Linked DNA regions of Schizosaccharomyces pombe. Changing the gene in region 3 together with the main gene of any one other region gives a genetic interaction. Each region holds a gene or a part of one and is shown on either strand. Other genes may lie near its edges.

Region 1 (7,324 bases), on a different chromosome or scaffold from region 3:
GGCTTTATGCAGTTTGCTCTCTTAAGACTATATCGCAATGTATCCTTGACGAAAAGGAATTATCGAGCTGAAGCAGCAATCGTTAATTAGTTATATCGCGTAGCAGTGAATTAGCTAACGCAGTTGAGAAAAATAAATTGCAATGAGTTTTATTAATAATTATTGTAATTTGATATAAAGTATGTCTCCAAAGATAATCAGTGTTATTTTAATAGTAATAAACAATTTTGTTTAACTATAATTGAATATGATGCTAAAAGAACTTACGTTTCATAGTTCAAATAGTCCTGTTCATTTTTATTAAAAAAAAAAAGATAACTTAATAACAACGAGTGTATATTCGTAGCACAAACGTATGTTCATTCTATAGTTATAGTTATAAATTAACATCGCATTTAATAGCCCAGTAACATCGCTGATATCAATGAAAAACAAAGACAATATGTTTTAATCCAATACCCAGAATGAGAAATGCGACCTTTCTTGCTATATTAATTTCTAATATTTACATAGGTTTGTATTTAAAAAAGTGGTTATAATTAATACAACAGTACAATGTTAAATTAAGTATAAGTTTCCTGTAATTCGGACTCTAAGTGTTTGCACAATCTAACCAGTGAAAACCAACTAATGCTTCGTGCTTTGCTTTAATAACAGATGAATAATTGAACAGTATTGAGCGAAGGGGTACTTCAGGATTAACCATACATCACTGTCACCAATAAGTAGTACAGTATTGCCGTTTATTCTGTTTAAACCTGACCTATCAGCATCATTCTCTAAAATCAATTTTTTCATGTTCATGAATCCTCTGTGGTGAGCCGCTTTAAAGCCATTTTAAGACAATCTTTAATTTCTGCGGCATCAACTTGTTCTCCGCCGCTGCTAGCTTCAGTAGTGCGATTGATATTACCAACTAGCGGTACATCCAAACCTAGTTTGTCAAGCTGCTCATGTTTGGTCAATGAAAGATTTAAAATATGACCTTCAACAGTATCTTCCACAATGTAGTAGTAAACAAACGTCGGACGAGTTTGCCCAATTCGATGAACGCGTGAAATTGCTTGCATTTCAATTCCACTATTTAGTAATGGTTCACCTGTCAATGTTAAAACTTGTTAATACAGATATCGACGTACACATGAAAACGTGAGTGGCATTTGTTAACGTCAAACCAGATCTAATGAAGATTAGAACAAATAATTAAACAGTTTAAACATACGATTGCGATCTTGCATGTAAAGTAAGTACTTGTAAGCTACGTTCTTCTTTAAACCTTTTTAGGCAAGTGTTCTTTGACTTTCCATCAAAACGTATGAAGACGATACCATTCGCTTCAAATGACTTGTGCAAAACATCCAAAACATCAAGCCATTGAGAGAATACAACAACTTTAGGATAAAGTTCGTTATGTTTCAAATACTAAAGTTAGATCCACTCTAAATACAAATGTTGCTTACCAAAAGATGTTTAGATATTGTGTCAATTTTTGATCCAAATGACTCCTTTAACTCCATATTAGAAATTTGCCTGTATGCTTCATCGTCGAGAATTTCAAGCCTTTCGTCTCGTTTGTTGAAACCAGTGACAAACTCTTGACGAGAGTATATATCCCTACTTTCGCCAATATAGTAAGCATTATTTTTGTTCAATTTGGTTTTGCACATTGGACACGACGAACTATGCTTCAACCACGCTTCCAAACAAAAACTACAGTACAAATGGCCTAACAAGTTAACTAGATAAACGATCCAACAAATACTTACCACAAGTTGTTATAAAACCTTGCTTAATTATATCACGACAAATTATACAAATCTGATGAGATTCAGCTTTAAGGACAATATGTTCATATAGGTTTGTTAAATACCTTCTCCTTGATTCGAAGTGAGCAATTTTACGTTGGGTATTGCTTTTTTCCTCTTCTAGCTCTCGCAGCAGATGGATATGTCCAGGTATATTCATTTCGGATATTTTTTGATTGACGAGTTCTGCTACGTTTGTTGTTTGACTTGCTTCGTCCTGCTTTTCTGAAATTTCTTTTTCCAAAATCACCGAAGCTTTAATTATAACAGAGTTCAAAAATTTTTGTTTTTTTTCGTCGTCTTTAACGTAATTGTTTAAACTGATATTTGAAACGGGAGGAGGCATCAAAGAGTCAGAAATTTCCTGCAGCTGTTTATAGTACTCAATCCTTGAATTATAAGTCAACTGAATTATACTCAATTCTTTTTCCAATTTTTGGCAAATTCTAGATTGCTCCTTTGCCATTGCATCAATCCGTTCATATTCTTCCATGTTTTTAGAAGTTTCAAAACTTGAGGTGGATCTATTTGATGCATCTAACAGTCTTGAAACTATATTTATTAATGATCCGTATTGATCTGCTTTTGGCCTTGCTTCTTCCCTTTCCTCAAAGTAAAGCAAATATTTTTTATCACGTTCTTCAGCCTGCTTGTCTAACGATTTCTCCGATTTTTTTATACTCTCTATAAGTTTGTATTTCTCAAGTTCTGTTTCATGAGACACAAAGGTATTAATAGTACCGCTGACTGCCGCTACTCGATCTGAAAGCATTTGACGGTAAACATCAATACAATAGGATATCTCTGATTGCGCATTCAATGATTCTTCGTATTCATCGCCGGTCGGATCCGATTCTTGATCCAGAAGTGGAAGTTTCATCAAATGGATAAGCCGATCTCTAAATTTTATAAGCACCTCCTTTTGATCATTCAACTCTTTATAAAGTCTATTATAGTCTTCAATTATACCATGTCCGGTTATGAGACCTTTTGCGTAAGATTTCTGTAATCGTGGTATTTTGACAAGTTTCTTTGGAATAAATTTTTCTGAAAACTCTTCAAGGTGCTTGCTGGTTTTGATAATCACATCACTCATAATCTTCCTTCTTAAATCCTGCGCGAGCAAATAAAATTCATTTTCAAACTTTTCGTTTTTTAAAGAAAAATAAGCGCTTGCTATAAAAAAGTATATTTTATGCAATAGAACATACCAAACACGCAGATGAATGAAATGATCCAAACCAAAATAATTAATCGGTAAATTTTTACCATGGTCCTCATATTTAGAGTTGTAAATAACATTTTCTAATTCTTTGACAGCGAGCTCGACAGGTATTCTGACTTCAGACCAAATAGCCAATGCTTTATTATAGTCTTTAATATGATCATATATTTGACCAACAATAATCTTATCGGAATAAAGCTTCCTGTTTAACGAGGAGAATGTAGAGTTTGTTTGTTCCAACATAAAAACTAATACATCATTAATGCTTTTCATGGGTCCACCTCCAAATGCGGATTTGTTACCAAATCCAACCTGCGGATGGCAACATGCCTGTCGTAAACGAACCAACCAACGCCTCATAGATTCTTCGTCACACAAATCCAAATTTCTGTCTTTGAAAAAGTGCAAAGACTTGGCCGCCTCTGATAATAAATCCTGGTAGTTCGTTTCTTCTACTACACTAAGTCTTGTAGTCATGCAGATTCGATGTTGAGGAGGTAATTTTAATTCTTCTTCAACGTCCTGTTTAGAATGTCTGCATACAAGGGAGCCAAACAGATCGCAAAATTCACGAACACGTTTCTTCTCTATAATTTGCATCCAAGCTTGTTTTTTGTATAAATACATAGGGGAGTAGCGAAGAAGAAATAAAAGGCCAAAAAGGTCATCAACTTCACTACGTACGGGAGTTCCACTTACAGTCCAACAATTGACACGAGGTATGCGATAAATCATTTGTGCGACATTACTCTGTGAAGTTTCAACCATCTGAGCTTCATCAACACAAATTCTCCACCAACATACATCAATCAATGGAGACTTTGGAGAAACATGTCGCTTTTCATGTCTTAAGGTCCTGGAATGAGATTCAGTGTACAATAGCTCAAACCGTAAATCAGAATAAGATGTTACCACTATATCACAATCCAAAAAAATTTTAGCTGATTTCAAACCATTGGATTTTCGGATTCCTTGGTAATGGAATACTTTCAATGATGGCACATGCAAATCTATCTCAGATAACCATTGATCGAGAATTGTAGAAGGCGTAATTATTAGGGTGGCCTTGGAATACTTTACATTTTTTCCGACGACCTGATCGAAAGTACAAGTATCAGTCAAAGAAATTGGCAACTGATGATGCAAAACTAATCCTAAGACTTCCAAAGTTTTTCCCATGCCCATTTCATCGGCTAAAATGCCTCCACGTATATCACCGGACGCAAGCAAATATGTTTTTTCTTTCGAAAATGTCATATAGCCGTAAACATGATTAACGTAAACCATTCGATCATCAAAAAGACTTTTGCAATGGTACCATAGAGGTGGTAAATCATTTGAGGTTAGGAATTTCTCTTCTTCTCTTCGTTTCATCCATTCTAAAACACGCATTTGAAATGGTAAAAGTTCCGAAGAAAGCCTTGGATCGCGTGATACATTGGCGAAACGTAGGCTTTTTGCCAATTTTCTTGCACAATCGTAAAATAGTGCAGTGTTAATATCTAAACAAGAATATTCCTCATCTTCAGACGGAAGGAACGTATAGTCTAGTAAAGCAGTGTATGAGGAAGATGATCCAGATGAAAGAATCGCATCTTGAGGGGCAAGAAAAGAGTCGAGTATGGAAATGCCAAACGACAAAATTAACTCGGATCCTTTTACAGTAACATAAGATGTGTATTTTATAATTTTCTTCAGCCGCCTATTATCCTCCCAAAGCTTACTCCAAATTTTGAGAGGTGCTTTTAAAGCAGAGTAAGTATCCTTATTCAAGTCGACAGAAAACAAAGGAATCAAGTTTTTGGCCAATGAAATTTTTCTTTGAGTAAAACTATATGCATGTAGTTTCTCAGATCCATCAACCCAAAAAACGACAGGATAAATAGTAGACTTTAGCCGATTTAACTCGTCCTCTGGTCCACGCCATATCTGCTGGTCTAGCTTGAGTTGGTGCTGGAATGCACGGTAGCAATTGGCGAAATCACTTTCCAAAAGGTTGTTTCTTTCATTTAGTAAGGAAGCCTCCTTCTCTATTTTTCGCCTCTTAGTTCGGTCCATAATGTTCCCTCTCTTAATTAAATACAGTCGTGTTTTGAACCAATAGACTTAAAAATTTTAGAATGAATAGAATTCTTTAATGTACAAAGAAATAAACGAAAATATATAAACCCTCAAGAACACAAAAGGGTAGGCATTGTGTTATGTGCTTTTGTTCTTAGTTGTGGGCAAAAAGTGTCTTGATTAAAACATGTGCCACTTTTTTTTTGCTAAAGCTTGCAGAGTCGAATATTACTTTGGTATTTTTTCCCCACCTTTCTTCCCTCTTTTTTTTTTTGGTTTAAAAGTACGACAAGGTAAATATCGATAAATCGTTTGTAAGGGAATTCTATTATTCACGGTTGAATCAGTACAAACACGAATTAGAACTCAAAATTACCTAAGAAATAACATCTACGTTAATTAGTAAGTAAATTGTAAATACTATTAAAATTACCGATACACTTAATATCTCATTTGCTGGCTAAAAGAAAGAGCCCTTTTTACTCGGTATTGTACAAACACACTATTCCTTATTGCTAAAACACTGTGCTCATCCTTTAAGTATATATCGATTACCAAGTTTAATTCAATTAGCAAAAAAATATAAATTCTAAATAAAACGTAAACTGGTAGGAAAGTTTTTAAAAGTGATGTCACCTTCACTGGACAAAGATTATTGTTATTGTCATAAACTAAAGTACAAAATATAAACTAAAGATTGTATACATATTAAAGAAATATCCTAGTTTGAAGGATTCTTGTCGTCGCAAATATTGTTAAACCAAACTGCGTTTACCGTATTACATTGCAATTCGATTTGTTAGACTATTATGTCAATAAGACAAACGCTAAACTAAGGTTAATTCTACTAGTGTGTAATATTTTTTTATGTACGCACACATTGCAAAATTGAACTTACCCTTAACCAACAACACGATTGGGAATTAGCAGAAAACAGTGACAAGTGGGTAAGAAAAAGAATCTGGAAGGATAAACGCTCTTTTTGCGCGACCACCAAAAGTATATAAAAGTGCAAATTTCCGTCTACGTCTCCTATTTAAGACAATCTCTCGAATAAGGACTTTTTGATCAACAGCAGATTTCAAATCATTGATTGATTTGAAATAGTAAAATTATTGTAAAGCGAGCAGTTGACAAACAAAACGTTTGTTTAGCTTGTATCCGAAGAAAAATTATTCAACGATTCAATTTAGTGATCTCGGAATTTCTAGAAGAGAAAAAGCTTACTTACACGATGCCTGCTATTATGGAAAAGAATATGCTCGTCAGCGAGTCGTTGCGTACGACGGAATTACTTGGCCATGTTAAACCAATTGACTCAGTGGTGACATGGTCTTCGCCTGGATCGTCTCGCCAGGCGATTGGTGAGGCGTTTAAAAACACGATTGAGGAAATTGAGCGTGCAGCTGTCCGTGGTGAACCCGCTGACTCTGATGCATTTTTTGTTGCTGATTTGAACGGAGTATATCGCCAACTTCTTCGTTGGCATGCTAAATTACCTCGTGTTCAACCATTTTATGCAGTCAAATGTAATCCTGATCCTAAGGTACTTGCATTGCTTAATAAATTTGGAACTGGTTTTGACTGTGCTTCTAAGGGTGAACTCGAACAAATTCTTGGCTTAGGTGTATCCCCTGATCGAATTGTATACGCCAATCCTTGTAAAGCCATAACTTATGTGCGCTATGCTGCTTCTAAAGGCATTAATCTGATGACTTTTGATAATGCCGATGAGCTGTACAAGGTGAAACAACATCATCCCAACTCACGTCTTCTTCTTCGTATTTCTACCGATGATTCCAATAGTCTTTGCCGTCTCAGTCTAAAGTTTGGTGCTTCTCTCGATGATACTGGTAAGCTGCTAGACATCGCAAAGTCCCTGGAGTTAAATGTCGTCGGTGTTAGCTTTCACGTTGGGTCAGGAAGCTATGATCCCTCAGCATTTTTGGATGCTATCCAACGATCTCGTCAGGTATTTGATCAGGGACTTGAAAGGGGATTTAATTTTGACTTGTTGGACATTGGTGGTGGTTTCATGAATGACAGCTTTGATGGCGTAGCAGACCTTATTCGCTCTGCCTTGGATACTTATTTTGATCCCTCCATCCGTGTTATTTCTGAGCCCGGTCGCTTTTTCGTCTCTTCTTCGTTTACTTTGGCTGTCAATGTAATTGCCAAACGGAAGCTTGATGATGAAGAGAAGGTGATGTATTACGTAAACGATGGTGTTTAT
Region 2 (4,529 bases), 320 kb from region 3:
AAAAACGTTAATTATAAATCATATATCTGGCTTTCGAACAATTATTTATTTGCTAAGCATTCATATAGATCAAATTCATGAATCTTGTATAGCTAGGTAGAAGGAAGCGTTAGAATCGGTAAATTCTTAGCAAACCGAACAGGAGGTGACAGCCATGTAGTCAGTAATTCGTACAACTCATAAGTTACCCAAAGGTACATAGATATATGCAGATAAAATAGATATAAATTTAATAATTGTTCTAAAATTAACTGATAATTGTTCAAGCGCTTAGATACTTGTTTTCTGTAATATGAATTATGTCTTTACATCTCTAGTTCATTTTATGAACAATAATGACCACAAGAACAAAATTCAAATCAGAACTGGTTATGATGATGGACTAACTGGTTTATACACCGTCCCCTGTTACAATATACAATTCGTAGAAAACGCTTTAGTTTTTCAAAGGAAGCATTATTCTTGAATGAAACTACAAAAAGAACAATTTGATTAATTATTCCTATTTCCAATTCTTGGATAATTCAAAGTTTTATTAAATGAAAATGAATAATCTCCCATTTCAGAACTATATGTTCCAAACTGAACAGAAAAAAGGTTTCGACAAAGATTGTATTAGATTACAGTGCAGTAAATTTGAAACCATTATCAATTATTCTAGCGCAACTTTCTCATAACCCAAATTGCGTATATAGATGGACGCCAATTTTAAAAAAAATGCAAGTTATTTTCACGAAAATGCGAGGGCATCTTCATGAGTTTGATCGAGATCGTATACAGAACCCCCTTTTTGTTATCCTTTTCGCATTAGTTTAACCCAGCATACAACTCATAAAGAGAGCAATATGATTCATGGTTAAGAGGCAATCAAAAGGACGCCTGGAAGGAAATATTATAAAATTGCTGAAATAAAAAAAAGTATTTAAACTTGTTTAAAAGAAAACGAATCGTATGTGTAGATTCAAATATTCATCAAACCGAATCGTGAATTTCCGTTTTCTTAGTATAATAAATATAGGGATCTCCTAGTTTTAATCATGACAATATAGAAAATTTCCCGAATAACTGAACTATTCATCATCAGAAACTAACAGCGTCACCTCGTCTTTTTTCTTCTCCTCTATTTTAGTGAAAGGATTGACCGAGTTATCGTCTTTCTTTTGTTCAGAGGCATTCTTTTCTATTGTAGAGTCAACAGAAAGTAAAGATATTTCTTCTGTCAGCGTTTCAACACTCGTATCAATCAACTTTTCCAATTCATCAGACCATCCTAATAGTTTACATAACGCACGTACTTGGGAATCACAATCCCCCAATATCATGATATCCTTTTTTCTCTCCCCAAAGTCGCCAGCTGGTTCTCGATTAATCAAAACTCGTTGACATTTATTTGGCACTATTTCAGGCAAATCCGCGAATGGATGAACAAGTAAACTTGTTCCAATTACCAGTGCCATATCACAGACTTTTGTGTCCTTTTCCATGTGCTCGAAGAAACGCATTGGTAATCCCTCGCCATAAAACACAATCATTGGTTTGATGAGACCTTTGCAACTGTTGCATTTAGGGACCTGTTTTTGCATAATACATGCTCTAACATACTCCGTTTCCGCCTTTGTTTTCCGTCAGTAAAACCAATTTCTGCTTTTTCACTTTAACTTTTTCAAAAACAATCCTTACCATTTCGTAACATTCAATACAGCGGCTGTATTGGAAAGAGCCATGTGCTTCAATCAGAGCTTTGTCAGGCACACCTGCCAAACGCTCCAAGGTATCAATATTTTGGGTATAACATTTTTGTAGTAACCTTTTATCATGTAAAAGGCGTATAAAATAATGAGTATAAGTTGGTCTATACTTTTCAGGCATCAATTCGTGAGCCAATTCGTAGAATGGACGCGGATTTTTTCGAAAATAAGATAGATCAAAAACAGCTTCTGCGTAAGGAAGATTAAATCTTTGTAAATTATTGTAAATTCCAGTCTCAGGGCTTCGAAAATCAGGGATTCCTGCTGCAGTGCTGATCCCTGCACCAACCATAACACATATTTTCTTTACTATTTTCGATAAAATCGCATTAGTATGGTCAAGGAAAGAAAATTAAAAGTCATTACCTTTTCCTTCTTTGATTAAGGATGCAACTTTCTCTAAATGCTTGGAAGAGTCGACGTGTTTAACAGTGTTTTTCACCATTGTCGAATTTCTGAGAACAACCAAAGCAAGCCAATAATCGATTTACCTTAAAAATCCCAACTCAAACTCTTTCAAAAATTGGATCACTTAAAATTCTCAGATATGAACAAATCAATATGTTAATGCACAAAGTTTGTGGGTACGCCAAATTTCCATTATTATTTACTCGTTGAAAATATCAAACGCCATTACCGATGCTCCATTAAACTGCATTATACTGTTTAAAAGGCTATTGTATTCGACTTTAGTACTCGTTATTTGGTAAACATTTAGAGCCATCTTTTTCAATTAAGAGTTTCTGGATGTCGTTGAAAAAATGAGATACGGGGTAATCAGAAATTATGATTAATCAACTTTCGGCTCACTTGATTAGATTCAGCAACGATAACTCTTGACTTTCTGGTTTTACTTATTGGGTTGGTCACACCAGTTTGACATATTAGGTGTCAAAGTTTTTTATAAGTTTATCATTAGTTAACTATTTTTTATCTTTATAATCAGTGTCATGTACGACTATAAATGTACGATTAAAGAATCATCGTCGGGAAAGAAATAATGAATTTGAGAGAACAATCCAAATTTGCGCTAAGAATTTTAATGCTGCTAATGTACACCGTTTTATGGTGCAATGGTGTGCTATAATTTTCCTTATTACATATTGCGGATATCATTGCGCTTTGTTAGTGCTTCAGTTTCACTTACGTTATACACATGTTTACATTCTAACTAGAGCCTATACTTCATTTTGTTGTAACGCAGAAATTCATTTAGATAGGTGTTATAGACGTAAATGAAGCAAAGATTTTCCGCTTTAGATATTGCTGCGATTGCTGCGGAATTACGAGAACAAGTGGTTGGGTGTCGCTTGAATAACTTTTATGATCTAAATGCGCGTACCTTCTTGTTGAAGTTTGGTAAACAAGTATGTGTAGAAAGTAATAAATATTTTTTTACTAACCCGTTAAAGGATGCAAAATATTCTATTGTTATTGAAAGTGGGTTTCGTGCTCATTTAACAAAATTTGATCGAGAAAATGCCCCTTTGTCTGGGTTTGTAACGAAGCTACGAAAACATATAAAATCTAGAAGGTTAACTGGTGTCTCTCAGTTGGGTACTGATCGAGTACTCGTTTTCACATTTGGAGGTGGTGCGAATGATCAAGACCCCGATTGGACGTACTATCTGGTTTGTGAATTTTTCGCTGCTGGAAATGTTTTACTATTAGACGGCCATTACAAGATTCTGTCTCTTTTACGAGTGGTCACCTTCGATAAAGACCAAGTTTATGCCGTAGGGCAAAAGTACAATTTAGACAAAAATAATCTCGTTAATGACAATAAATCTCAGTCTACTATTCCTCATATGACAGCTGAACGATTAAATATCCTTTTGGATGAAATAAGCACTGCTTATGCTTCTCCTACTTCTATTAACGAACCTTTACCTGACCAACAACTATCCTCTTCTACAAAGCCGATTAAAGTACCCAAACCAGTTTCTCTTAGAAAAGCATTGACTATAAGATTAGGTGAATATGGTAATGCACTTATAGAGCACTGTCTTCGGCGTTCAAAATTAGATCCACTATTCCCTGCTTGCCAGCTCTGTGCAGACGAAACCAAGAAAAACGATTTATTAGCTGCTTTTCAAGAAGCCGACTCCATATTAGCTGCAGTTAATAAGCCCCCAGTAAAGGGTTATATATTTTCACTGGAGCAAGCACTAACAAATGCTGCTGATCCTCAACACCCTGAAGAATGTACTACATTATACGAAGATTTTCACCCTTTTCAGCCTTTACAGCTCGTTCAGGCAAACAGAAAGTGCATGGAGTTTCCAACCTATAACGAATGCGTTGACGAGTTTTTCTCTTCTATCGAAGCACAAAAGCTAAAAAAACGAGCACATGATCGCCTAGCGACAGCTGAGCGAAGGCTTGAATCGGCTAAAGAGGATCAAGCACGAAAACTTCAAAGTTTACAAGATGCCCAAGCTACTTGTGCGTTGAGGGCTCAGGCAATTGAGATGAACCCTGAACTTGTTGAGGCTATTATCTCATACATTAACTCTCTGTTGAACCAAGGAATGGATTGGTTAGATATTGAAAAGTTAATTCAATCTCAAAAAAGAAGAAGTCCGGTAGCTGCTGCTATTCAAATTCCCCTTAAACTTATAAAAAACGCCGTTACCGTTTTTCTTCCTAATCCAGAGTCTGTAGATAATTCTGATGAAAGTTCAGAAACCAGCGATGATGATTTGGATGATTCTGATGATGATAATAAAGTGAAGGAAGGAAAAGTTTCGTCAAAGTTTATTGCCGTTGAATTGGATTTAT
Region 3 (3,936 bases):
CGGGGTGAATTGAAATCACTATGAATCCTTCATCTTGTAGCTCAAAACTAATTTCCTTCATCGTATAATTTAAGGCAGCCTTAGATTGGCCATAAGCAGATTGACTTGAAGGGAAGAAAGCTCCCATGGATCCAGCTAATGATGAAGTAAAAACAATGATTTTAGATCTTCCTTTTTTTATAAGAGGATAAAAGGCTTGGTAGACATGAATTGGTCCTAAAACATTGGTTTTATAGTGAGAGTTCCAGACATCATCAGGAGTATTTACGACAGGACCAAAAGAATGGAAAACGGCTGAATTTACCCAGAGAACATCCACTGCATCAACTACTTTTGTAACTTCTTGAGCGGCTTCATTGGCACTCTCTAGAGAGGAGACATCTAACTTAATAATGTGCACATTGGAATGAGACTTGCTCCATTCTTGTAATTTAGTAGCAGCTCCAGGCTTGCGGGCACTTGCAAATACAACTGTTCCTTTTCTGTTGCTCAATTCCTTAACAAGAGAGAGTCCAATGCCTCGATTTCCTCCTGCAATAAAGTAAATTTTGTTGGTAGTAGACATATTCTAACACAATGTTTGAATGATCCTTGAATCCGTTTGAAAAGTGGATAATTTGGTGTCGGCAATTTATCATCAACTTCATGCTTATATACCAATTCTTCAAATCATTATGCTTACGTGATTTGAACCGTGAATTTTGATGCTTACATAATTGAATATACTCAGCGACAAGTTCATAAAAATTCATCGTATAGAACTTATTGTACTTTGTATTAGAAGACAATATAAATACATTTACAACCTATTTAGACGGTTTTTTAAACATATTCCCTTAATTCCGCTTTAATAAATTAATCAATTTCAGTTAAATTATTCTTCTGTTTCTGGTTTCTTTGACAAAGCATCATATAGATGATATGTATTTGAAGTTACTCACATGAGAATGCTGAGTTGCCAGTCGTATAGAAAAGCTTTAAATTGGGTACAAACAAACGACTCTTTAAATTGCTCCACCAAAAAATAAATTTATAAAAAAACAAGATAGCCGTAAGATGATCGATCACTCGGGAGTCATTTTTTGGACGATAAGCCTTATACGAATGAATACTCAAATTTGTTACATGAAACACATCTTTTAGATGTCCATGCTCACTAAATAGTTATGTTAAGCTTTTTTAAAGTTCTGAAGGCTTGTAAATATTTGTAAGGGCATGTAAATTCAACAAAAAAGAACGATTGTTTGAACACAACATCGTGCTGTAATCTAGACTGCAAAAACATCTTTAAAAAGGGGCATCAAAACCATCATGACTAACAAAAGATATGTCTAAAAGGGAATAATGGTCCCGTCATATCTATAAAAAGACCCGTTGTTTTCGGGTTTCAAATTGTCAACCACCTTAAGCATGGATGAAACGCTTTCTTCGGGTATGATAGTAACCTTTTTTAAGTAAGTCAGCATCTCGGGAGATGTTTCAGTAAATTTTTTGATAGCATCAGCATTCATATCAGTCTTTACTACTCCAGGATGAATGGAAATGAATGTGAAGTGTTCATCAGCTAGTTCGACACTAAGTTCCTTCATAGTGAAATTGATTGCTGCCTTGGACTGACCGTAGGCAGAGAATCCAGTAGCACGAAAGTCGCCCATTGAGCCGCATTCACTGGAAGTAAAGATAACCTGTCTGGTTTTTTTCTTTGTCAACAACGGATAAAAAGCTTTGAACACATGGATAGGTCCTAAAACATTGGTTTGATAATGAGCATTCCAAACTTCTTCAGGTGCTTCCATAACTGTATAGTAAGATTGACAAATACCAGAGTTCAACCAAAGAACATCAATTCCATCGACCGCCTTCGCAACGCTTTGAGCAGCTTCATTGGCACTCTGCTGAGATGTGACATCTAATTCAACAGTTTTAACATTAGGATGAGATTTGCTCCATTCTTGTAATTCAGTAGCAGCTTCGGGTTTGCGAGCACTCGCAAACACAGTCGTTCCTTCTCTACTGCTTAACTCTTTGACAAGAGAGAGTCCAATACCACGATTTCCTCCTGCAATAAAGTAAACTTTGTTGGTAGTAGCCATCTTTATAGTACAATCTCAAAGTCGTTTCTCAATTAGTTTTTGGTTAATAGTAACTGACACTTCCTTGGTGTTTTGCTGTACTTTTATTGATAAGGAGTGTTTGTTCGCTATTTCGTTTACGTGTGAAGAGCTGTGACATTTTGCACACGTTTGATTTTCTCAACCAAAAGCGTCAAATTTCATTCTACAAAATTCTATCGGTATTTGCTGCTTGATATTAACAGTCTTTTTATATGGGACTTGCATAAAATAAAAAAAGTAGAAGCCGTGTTAATTAATGAAATCGAAAATTTTGATTGTAGAGCGTAGTAAAGGATGAAAAAATTTTAAGAACTACTTTTCCTCGTTTTTGAAATCTTCCGGTAGAAAGAACTTGTCAGATTATAATAAAACAACTACAGAATCTATCTCATACATACATCGAAGCTGCAATTTTTTCTCAGGTTACTGGTTCACCTCTTAGGTCAATTTGCTCTACCAATTTAAACCCTCTGTAAGATAATATTTTTGTTGAGGAGAAAGAGAGAATCGTATATAGAGTGTCTTAGTAAGATTATATGACATGAAGTTTTACAGCATCTCAAGATTAGGCTTCTTTACGACTATATGACCAATACAAAATGGATGGAAATTTGCGAATAAAAAAATTCGCAAAGTTTACCTTATGGAATTAATATTTACCTGTTTACTCATTTGAAAGGAGCTTAGACCCTTAAGTTCCCCTTTAGCAATTCCTGAACTCATGGAAATGCTAGTTAAACTTTGAGCAAACCATTTATTCAATCCTTTCTCCCTTTTTACTACAGGAAAAGACACAGATTCAAATGTTTTTGAAATCTCCAACGCATCCGTATTTTATTTAACGTATATTAAGCGTTCCTTAAACATGCTTAAAATTAAGCGCTAGAGTTTCCGACATTTTTTTTTCTGCTAACAGTACTTTCGTACTTGTTCAATTGAAAGGTTTTTGCGCATTGCATTTATGAAGGTTCCTGCGTATTGGAAGCCGCGAGAACCAAAAAATGCTTTGACATGTGATCCACCTGTTCCTTATGACTTGCAGTCATCTTACCAATGGCAATCCATTTTGGAGCACGATACCTGCTATGCAGCTGAGGTATTTGACAAAATGATGATAGAATTAGTCTATCATCCAGAGCGGACAAGCAGTGTTATCATGCGAACAGACATAATTCTTGATTCTCAAGAGGATGATTCAATTCTAAACAAGCAGAAATCAGTTTTCGAAAATCTTGACGAAAGGTACCAAATTTCAAGGTGGATCGATCGTCGAATTATTCCTCGTAATACTAATTTGGATGCGACAATGGACCAAACGGTTGTTGTGCTACATGAGAAGCTTGAAAATGATCGTATATTAATGTACTTACCTCACCTGGACAAAAGTTTGGAACAGCCCTATAATCATCTTCCATACTATCATCCCGCAGTAGCTGGAATTGCTTTTCATTACAAAGGATCAAGTGTTGAGGTTTTATATTTAGTAGAAAAGGATTTTCAAAGGGAATTGTCTTCCCGTTTATTGCGAACAGCTCATATGCTTTTACTTGTTTTACACAAGCATTGCAAGGGGGCAGTGGAAGGGTACCAAAAACGCATGCTTCACGACACTGTTGTGGAAAGAAACAAGTTTCAAGATACCTATGTTATTCTGAAAGATAAATACGCCAAGCAACTTGTTGACAATTGGGTAGAAAAAACGGATCCTGGTAAACACGTTTTCGAAGATTTGGCTATTGCAGCATTTCTTATAGAATTGTGGAAACAAACTTATTCATCAAACAAAGAATTTAGTTTTGTTGATGTTGGTTGCGGAAATGGT

The links. A genetic interaction does not mean that the proteins touch.
Region 1: mutations in SPOM_SPCC663.09C (region 3) and irc20 together harm fitness more than expected from each alone (negative genetic interaction), as found in Schizosaccharomyces pombe (one large-scale study listed by BioGRID).
Region 2: mutations in SPOM_SPCC663.09C (region 3) and hst2 together harm fitness more than expected from each alone (negative genetic interaction), as found in Schizosaccharomyces pombe (one large-scale study listed by BioGRID).

The regions. Positions count from the first base shown.
Region 1 is NC_003424.3:4,657,020-4,664,343, reverse strand, and holds irc20 (ATP-dependent DNA helicase), read right to left. Parts: upstream 5,248-7,324; 5' UTR 5,089-5,247; coding exon 1,767-5,088; intron 1,748-1,766; exon of another isoform or gene 1,727-1,747; coding exon 1,461-1,726; intron 1,423-1,460; coding exon 1,223-1,422; intron 1,181-1,222; coding exon 1,140-1,180; intron 1,100-1,139; coding exon 801-1,099; 3' UTR 501-800; downstream 1-500. Other genes in the region: ornithine decarboxylase Spe1, read left to right, coding at 6,326-7,324.
Region 2 is NC_003421.2:1,326,762-1,331,290, reverse strand, and holds hst2 (histone deacetylase, Sirtuin family, NAD-dependent Hst2), read right to left. Parts: upstream 2,340-4,529; 5' UTR 2,194-2,339; coding exon 2,115-2,193; exon of another isoform or gene 2,113-2,114; intron 2,058-2,112; coding exon 1,681-2,057; exon of another isoform or gene 1,614-1,680; coding exon 1,071-1,613; 3' UTR 501-1,070; downstream 1-500. Other genes in the region: ribosome quality control complex subunit Rqc2, read left to right, coding at 2,984-3,115, 3,161-4,529. UniProt on the Schizosaccharomyces pombe protein: NAD-dependent histone deacetylase, which could function in telomeric silencing, cell cycle progression and chromosome stability.
Region 3 is NC_003421.2:1,648,197-1,652,132, forward strand, and holds SPOM_SPCC663.09C (dehydrogenase), read right to left. Parts: upstream 2,145-3,936; 5' UTR 2,094-2,144; coding exon 1,332-2,093; 3' UTR 844-1,331; downstream 1-843. Other genes in the region: SPOM_SPCC663.08C (short chain dehydrogenase ), read right to left, coding at 1-565; trm44 (tRNA (uracil-O(2)-)-methyltransferase), read left to right, coding at 3,076-3,936.